2 linked regions of the Daphnia pulex genome follow. The protein of the gene in region 2 purifies or fractionates together with the protein of the main gene of each other region. This does not show direct contact. Links are inferred from orthologs where the notes say so. Each region holds a gene or a part of one and is shown on either strand. Other genes may lie near its edges.

Region 1 (3,600 bases), on a different chromosome or scaffold from region 2:
TTTTACGATCCAATAAGAATCCCAGTAATAGGATTCTCTGAATCTTCCACCGGGAACAATAAATGGATTCGGAACATATACAATGGAGTATAAATCAGGATTATCACGAACGTCGTCTAGAATTACAACACAGAGCCCATAGTCCAAGCAGTGAAAGAGAGAACACCAGCAAAGAATAGAAATTTAAAATATGATTCTCTTATCTGGCGGAAAGAAAACTGGACTGCAATTTAAGGAAATCAATAAAACCATAATGTTTCTTTTTAGACCATCACCTTTTATCTGTCGCCCGAGAGATTTCCATCCTTCATGAAGACGATTCCCCCAATTGCGGAACTCTGAATTATTAATTTGAGATAGAAATGGAGGATCACTGATCCAGTCCGATGGATCCCAATTCTGGAATTCCAATCCTTCAGCTTCAAAATTGCTGTCAACAAATGCCTGTAATTCTTCTTTGGTTGGCTGGTTTTCAGTGTCGGTCATGAACTGTGAGAAACTAGTTAAGACTATTTCTGGATTAAAACGCAATTTTTTATCCACAAAAGTTTTGGAATCTTTGTATAACTCCGCGTTTTGGACAGCATGCAGCAGGGGTCCATAGCAATAAATTTCGCTAAAATTAAAACGTAATTCTGGTAATTAAGCAATTTCATTGTTAGATTACAGAAATTTTCTTGCCTGGGGCAGGGTGGTGGCAGTTGAAAAGTTGAAGTTGAAAAGGTCCAAGCAATTATTGCTAAAACGGTAATTAATCGAGACATTCAATAATATGAATTTTAAATGTTTTGCTTAAAAAAGAATGTAAAATGTTTGAGAGAGGTTAAGCATGGAGCTAAACATGCAATGGGCCAATGACTAAACGAAAACGAATCAAGTGACTAAACGAAAATTATGTTTCGTAATCAAAAGGCTACGATAGATCAAAAACTTATCAGTCTTGTTTTTGTCAATATTTTCAGGTCAGATAACTCTACGATTGATTGAACATTGGAAGTTTTGAACCCGTCCACCGAAACTTAAAAAATAAATGATAACTCATGTTGACGAAAGCAGAAAACTCTTTCGTTGAGTATTGACTCAACTTAAATGGCTAATGATAAAAGCGCAAATCCGCTATCCGCATGATTTCAAACCTTTCTTTTGTGCGCGCACAATTGTTTCAGCGTTGCCAAAAATAAAAAAATTTAGTACCTTATTATTTTCCAGTTTCAACTCTTTGAGTGAACCAAATCTAAAAAAAATAGTTAAAAAAATTTAAATACTTTCAAATAGTTTGCGTCTGACTATAGAATAGATGATAAATGTATTGAAATGTTCAAAATTTAATTGGCATCATATATTATAAACAGCCGACAAAAAACGGGGCTGTCATGGCGGCTTAGTTGCAAGCCAGGTTGTTTGGATTTTTGGTAGTTTTTCCCAGTTTGTTGGCTAAAGTTAGTAATTGATGGTTACCACTGTTGTTTAACGTATATTAGTAAAAGAATGAGTCAAAGCGGTTTAAGTGCTCCAGCAAGCCCGGATCCTGACTTGTCTGGAACCAGTTCAAGCATAATCGAAGGACAGTTGTATACGAATTCGCGTCCGGAAAGCCGAAGCAGCATTAGCAGCAACTCCATGGTTGATCAGGACCAAGCCGCTGAATCCAGTCGTCTGAGTTCAAACGTAGATGAAATTGATAGAAAATCTGATAGTGGAGAAGTGATTGGGCTTGATGAAAATGCCCAATCAGGTGGCTTGCTGGATGAACATAAACAAGAGTTAATGGCTTCAGATTCAAGCAAAGAAGATGAGGATAGTCTTGAAATGGTATCAGATGATGAAATGGAAGCTAACGAAAACTGCAAAGATTCATCTAGTAAAAAATCTCCTCAAATTTTGGATCCATTGATTAAAGACACTGAATTAGACTTTGAAGAAGATAATCTTGAAGAAGAGCCCAAAAAGCCGATTGAAGACAGAAAGCCTGAAAAAGATGACGAAGATGGAGAATGTGATGGAGAGAAGCCACAGAGAGAAAAGGAAGCAAGTGAAGAAGAACTAGAGGAAGGTGAAGAGTTGGAAGAAGGTGAAGTTAGCAGCGAAGAAGATGTTGGCAAACATGCACGCATGGAACCTAGGCCTGTTTGTAGATTTTACAGTAAAGGCAATTGTACTTGGGGTAATAATTGCAGGTAAGAACTAGTATTTTTCTTTTTTTGAAAGAAAAAGTATTGATATTGTTTTACAGATTTGTTCATCCTGGAGTATTAGACAAGGGAAATTACAATATGTTTGCTCCTGCACGTCCATCTGCCCATAACGGGCCTTCAGCACCCTACGAAAGACCTTTTGATCGACCACCGGTGGTTCCACTCATCCCGCCAGCAGAGTGGGCAAATTCTCAGCCAAGGGTCGCTAATCCTCGACCTCCACGACATCCACAGGTACACGGTTACTTACTTTCAGCTAAGTCAATTTTCGTTATTTGAGAAACTTCATTTCTGAATTGTAGCCGGCCGAGCCACCTCGGACTGATGCAACCGGTGCTGAATCACCTTGGGAAAGAGGACTGAGACAAGCCAAAGAGGTATGAGACAATGCCGTGATTATTTAAGTTTATTGCTATGGGTTCATAATAAACGTTTTCTTTACAGATGCTCAAAAAGTCCAGTCATCGTAAAGAAACTGACATTGACTTCGAAGAAAAAAAACTAAATTTAGGTTTAGGTGAGGAAGAATTGGACAAAGAGAATGACTACTACACTCGACCTGCTAGTCCAGTTTTACATGGAGACGTCCCTCCTCCGTAAGTTAAATCGCACTGCATTAAAATCTGTTTAAGAGTTAAATAGGATCTGTTAATTTTTTTACTCCTCTAGATTTGAAGAGCCAGATACAGAACCATACCATAAATTTTTACCTCCATCAGCTGAAGGGCGATGGCCTCCGTCACGCTACCCGCCTCCTCACCGCCACCCCCCACCTGGTTACCCTTATCCGTACGAAGGCCGGCGACCTTACCCACCAGAATCAGAGTATAGAGAAAGGGAATACTATCATCCGGAAGGATATGAGCGTCCGCACTACTACGGTCCAAAACCAAGTGAACGAGATATCCATCCATCTGCCAGTAAATCCCAACCTCAACTTCCTCCCCCTCACGAAAAAAGATGGTCTGATGAGAGGTCAGTTTTAATTGATGCAATGTGACTGCGTCTGTAGAACCAAAACAAAATCCTTTATTGAACCTTTTAAATTGTTCAATATAGATACGTGGAAGTTGTGCCTCCAGCTCAGCGTGGACGTAGTGATGAATGGTGGGATCCGTGGATGAGATCAAGATCTCCTGGTGGTGCTGGAGGCGGAGGTGCTGCTGGTGGTGGTCCATCTTCAAGTGCAGTCGTTGGCGCCGGAGGAAATTCGGCTGGAGCTAAAGGTTCTAGACGACGTAGCTATTCGTCTGGGTCATCTTTTTCAACATCGTCGTCGACATCGAGCTCAAGTTCGAGTTCATACTCGAGCTCAAGCAGTCGTTCCAGTCGTTCCAGTGCTAGCTCACGTTCCACTTCAAAATCTAAATCAATGAATGTAAAACGACGGCAAGGACGGAAGGCA
Region 2 (3,959 bases):
AGCGTTACTTTGATTGATTTCATCAAAAACATACCCTTATTTGTCTTGAGCGAGATTGATGTCTTCAGGTGGGTTACTGCAGTGAACAACAATTATGATGTTCGTTTCAGTCATCGGGTAAGCAAGCCAACGAATATCTTGACCGATCCCGTGAACTTCCTTTTCAGTAGATTCAGCAAATCTTTTCACAATTGAATTAGGGGTAGCACCTGATATGGGCTCGACTTTTAGCATAACCATATTCGTCTCTACGGTATATCGATCAACTTCCACAACGCTTTTTCCAACCTCTTGCGCAGTAACAGCCAATTGACCAATTGTTTGGTGAAAATATGATCTTGAGCTACCCTGGTAGGTCCCTTTGAAAGTGACAAAATTCCGGCTGCGGCCAAAATACCCGCCTGCCGCATTCCTCCTCCAAGTGCTTTTCGACAACGATGAGCCTGAGTATGAGTGTTATTGAATACCTCCAGTTCATGTTGATATCCATCCATGGTTGATATTTTAATAGATGGAATTTATGTTGCATAAAGGGCCGATTTCACAGCAAATGACACTGCATCATAAGGGTTCTCTCCACATTCATGATCTATTTTAATGCCATTAAAATGATTCATGAGAAATTGTTGATTGGTGGAAAAATGAGAAATTGATGATTGGTGGAAATATTGACAAATTCCCCCCAAAAAACCTAAACCCCGTGAAAAAAACACCCTATCGGGAAACTCGCGCGCGAAGCAAGGGATCGGCATGTGTACACACTACGAACGGTGCGATGGTTTAGCCTAGCATGTGGCGCCACGACAATTTAATTTATCATTAGATCAATTAAAGCTATAATTAGGATTAAAATATAAAATTCATAACAAATACAAAATAAATAATAGAATGTAATAGCTAGTTGAATCTTGCTTTTGCCAATGGTGTTAATAAAAAAATCTTTAAGACTACTTTCTTACTAGGTACATTAGAAGTTTAATTCATAAATGATCCAATTATTAGAAAAAAACATTGGTGAAAATATATTTTTTTGTTATCTTATTAGTTATTACAAGAAATTAACTAGCTTAGCGCTTAGCGGCCTTAGCCTATGTCGCTTGTCAGTTGTCTCTCAGCCCAAGCCATGTTCTTCAGTTACTGATTATTCAAATCATAAGGCAGTAACAGTTTTACCCTGCAGGCGACAGCACTTGTATTCCTCAAACTTTCGTTGGCACCAACGGGCAACGGCGTTCTCAGTTTTCTTCTGATCGCGTGGCGAAATCAAACTAAACGCAAATTTGGGTAAAGTTCGAAGAAGATATGAAATTTATGAACATCAATAGTTTTATAGCGAGTTCTGTAACTTTGTGTGTGAAATTAAGTTTTTTATTTTACTTGCGTTGGTATTTGAGTATGCCGGTACATCGAATTGTTCTTATCAAAAATCATCTGCATTTTCGGCCATATTGCCACTTAGTTGGCAGTACTTTTACTTATTAGTTGATTAATTGATGCTTAATATTATAAAACATTAAACTAAAGTTTCCTCTTTTTTTTCTCCATAGCTTAAGAAGTAGGTCACCAACCTGTACCATGGGGGACAGTGATGATGATTATGATCGTCGCAGAAGGGATAAGTTTAGAGGAGAACGAAGTGAGTACCGGGGAGCTGGAGAATCTGGAAGGAGAGAAGAAAGAGGCAATCCTAGGAGAGAAGAGTGGAATGATAGGTTGGTTTGACAAATGCTCTGTTATTTTTAAGCTGTTTAGTCCAATGCATGTTTCAAAGTAGAGGCATCATGGAACCGAGAAGAGGTGAATCTTGGTCTCAAAGAGGGTCTCGTTCTCAACCACGTCACGAATATCGCGAATCTTACAGAGGTCGTGAAAGATACAGCCCAGCAGGTGGGTATGATGCACCACAAGCTCCAAAAAGGATGAGGCCTGACTGGTATGTTTTTCATACTAATATTATGCTGCCATTTATTAATCTTGTAAAATGGTTTTAGGGAAGACAGGCGCTATGGATTTGATGCTGGTTATGGGCCCAACATTGGCTCTTCATGGGGTCAGAATGAACCAGTCATTAATACTCCACCAAACGCTGGAAACTTTAGTGGATCTTCTTCAAGGTAATGTTTTTATGGTAATTGTTAGTTGTGTAGGGTTAATAATAATAATAAATAATGCCTGATTTTCCAGAGGGGAAGAATTTCCTACTCAACCACCAATGATGTCCTTTAAAGCTTTTCTGGCTGCCCACGATGATTCAATCTCTGACGAAGAAGCAGTTAAAAAGTATGCCGAGTACAAGCTAGAATTTCGTCGTCAGCAGCTGAATGAATTTTTCACAAGCCACAAGGATGAAGAGTGGTATGTTTTTGCTTGTTTTTTTTCTTGTTTTTACAAGTGTTAATATCAAATTTAATCAATATTTTAAGAATTTCTTATAAGTTTTCTTTTAAAGACTTGTGTGTTGTGTATTGCATTGAATTTTTCTGGTAACTAAATTATTTATAAGTTTTGCCGCGTGTAATCGGATTTCGGATAACCAATTTACATATATTTAATCCCCCCTGTTTTTCAGCCGATTGACATAGCTGCTATTGACGTCCCTCCGTTTATTTCAACCATCTCCGACCTTTCTATAAGGTGCCATACCATCTGTCAAAAGCTACTTGAAAATCAATTTTTTAACTGTGTGAACATGAAATGAACAGATCTCCAAAGTGTGCGTTAGAGTAGGGTTCAACTGCGCGCAATGCAGTGGTCAGTTAGTAGCTAGGTTATAAAAAATCCGTACCGGGAGAACAGGTGAGGGAAATCTTGGCCTCTTGAAAAGTGTGGTCCCTAGCTGGTTATTTTAATTCGAAGTTTTCAACATTAATTCTGTTACTAATTTGTTTTATTATATTTTCCTCGAACGAATGTAGGTTTAAGTTGAAATATCACCCGGAAGAGAATCAAAAACGGAAGAACGAGCATAAAGCTCATATTGAAGTAAGTTGTCTCTAATTTTGACAGATTCTGGTTGTAACTAATCAATTAATTCAATATAGTTACGCATGAAAACTATTTTGGATTTAATGGCTGAGGGTTCTTTTGATCAAGTGACTATCGATGCGGATCAGTCAGAAAAGCTAGTAAAACTTCTTGACACCGTGGTAATTAAACTCGAAGGTGGGAATGAGTTAGATCTTCAGGTCCTTGACAACCCTCCTCAACCAACCGCCGATAAGGTTTGTCTATTTAATTTCCTTTAATTGGTTATAACTGATTTTTTAAAAATCATTTCACTTTCATAATTGAAGCAGCCTATTAAAATCCAAGAGAAGGTTATCAAGGAGATTGAAGATAAAGAAAATGATGATTTGGGCGAAGGCGACGATGCTAAAGAAGATGGTGTGATCGAGGACTCCAAAATGGAAATTAGCTCTGACCCAAAAAGTCCTAATAACAGTAGGAATTCATTGTTATTAATTTTTGACGCACTGCCTTACCAGTATTTTTTATATTTATTTTATAGGTGGCAAAAGAAAACGAAGCGGATTTGAATCGGATAGTGGAAGCGACTGGGAGCGGGAAGGAAAGGAACAATCGGAAATATCTGAAGCTCCTCAAAGCCCTGATGGTAAGCCAGCTGGTGGTGAGGGTAGTCCTAGGGAAACCGAAGCAGCTGATGAAATTCCAGTAAAAGATGATGCCAAAGAAAAAGTTGATGAAGATGAAAGCAAGGAGGAAGAAAAAAAGGAAAATGGCGGGCCAGTTCTTCCCCGAGAATTGCATCGGACTGCCTCCATATTTCTCCGTAATTTGGCACCTACCATTACCAAACTGGAAGTCGAAGCGGTAATGAGAGTTTCTAATTTTTTTTGTTAGATTCAGTTTTCTAATCTTTAGCTTTGTTTAATGAAGATGTGCAAACGGTATCCTGGATTTTTACGTGCTGCTATTGCTGATCCTCAGCCAGAACGCAG

The links. Proteins that work in one complex are often made in the same cells at the same time.
Region 1: the proteins of serrate RNA effector molecule homolog (region 2) and zinc finger CCCH domain-containing protein 18-like purify together in Homo sapiens (co-immunoprecipitation; 4 studies listed by BioGRID and IntAct, counting the BioPlex papers as one, with this or other methods). This does not show direct contact. The link is inferred for Daphnia pulex from reciprocal best matches to the Homo sapiens genes SRRT and ZC3H18.

The regions. Positions count from the first base shown.
Region 1 is NC_060020.1:4,875,983-4,879,582, forward strand, and holds the start of zinc finger CCCH domain-containing protein 18-like, read left to right. Parts: upstream 1-1,345; 5' UTR 1,346-1,488; coding exon 1,489-2,177; intron 2,178-2,233; coding exon 2,234-2,429; intron 2,430-2,497; coding exon 2,498-2,572; intron 2,573-2,639; coding exon 2,640-2,791; intron 2,792-2,864; coding exon 2,865-3,170; intron 3,171-3,254; coding exon 3,255-3,600. Other genes in the region: trehalase-like, read right to left, coding at 1-116, 276-616, 682-764.
Region 2 is NC_060024.1:618,548-622,506, forward strand, and holds the start of serrate RNA effector molecule homolog, read left to right. Parts: upstream 1-1,126; 5' UTR 1,127-1,284; exon of another isoform or gene 1,285-1,401; intron 1,402-1,547; 5' UTR 1,548-1,575; coding exon 1,576-1,712; intron 1,713-1,771; coding exon 1,772-1,933; intron 1,934-1,991; coding exon 1,992-2,114; intron 2,115-2,184; coding exon 2,185-2,355; intron 2,356-2,915; coding exon 2,916-2,982; intron 2,983-3,041; coding exon 3,042-3,221; intron 3,222-3,293; coding exon 3,294-3,441; intron 3,442-3,508; coding exon 3,509-3,831; intron 3,832-3,897; coding exon 3,898-3,959. Other genes in the region: uncharacterized protein R102.4-like, read right to left, coding at 37-181, 289-494. UniProt on the Homo sapiens protein: Acts as a mediator between the cap-binding complex (CBC) and the primary microRNAs (miRNAs) processing machinery during cell proliferation.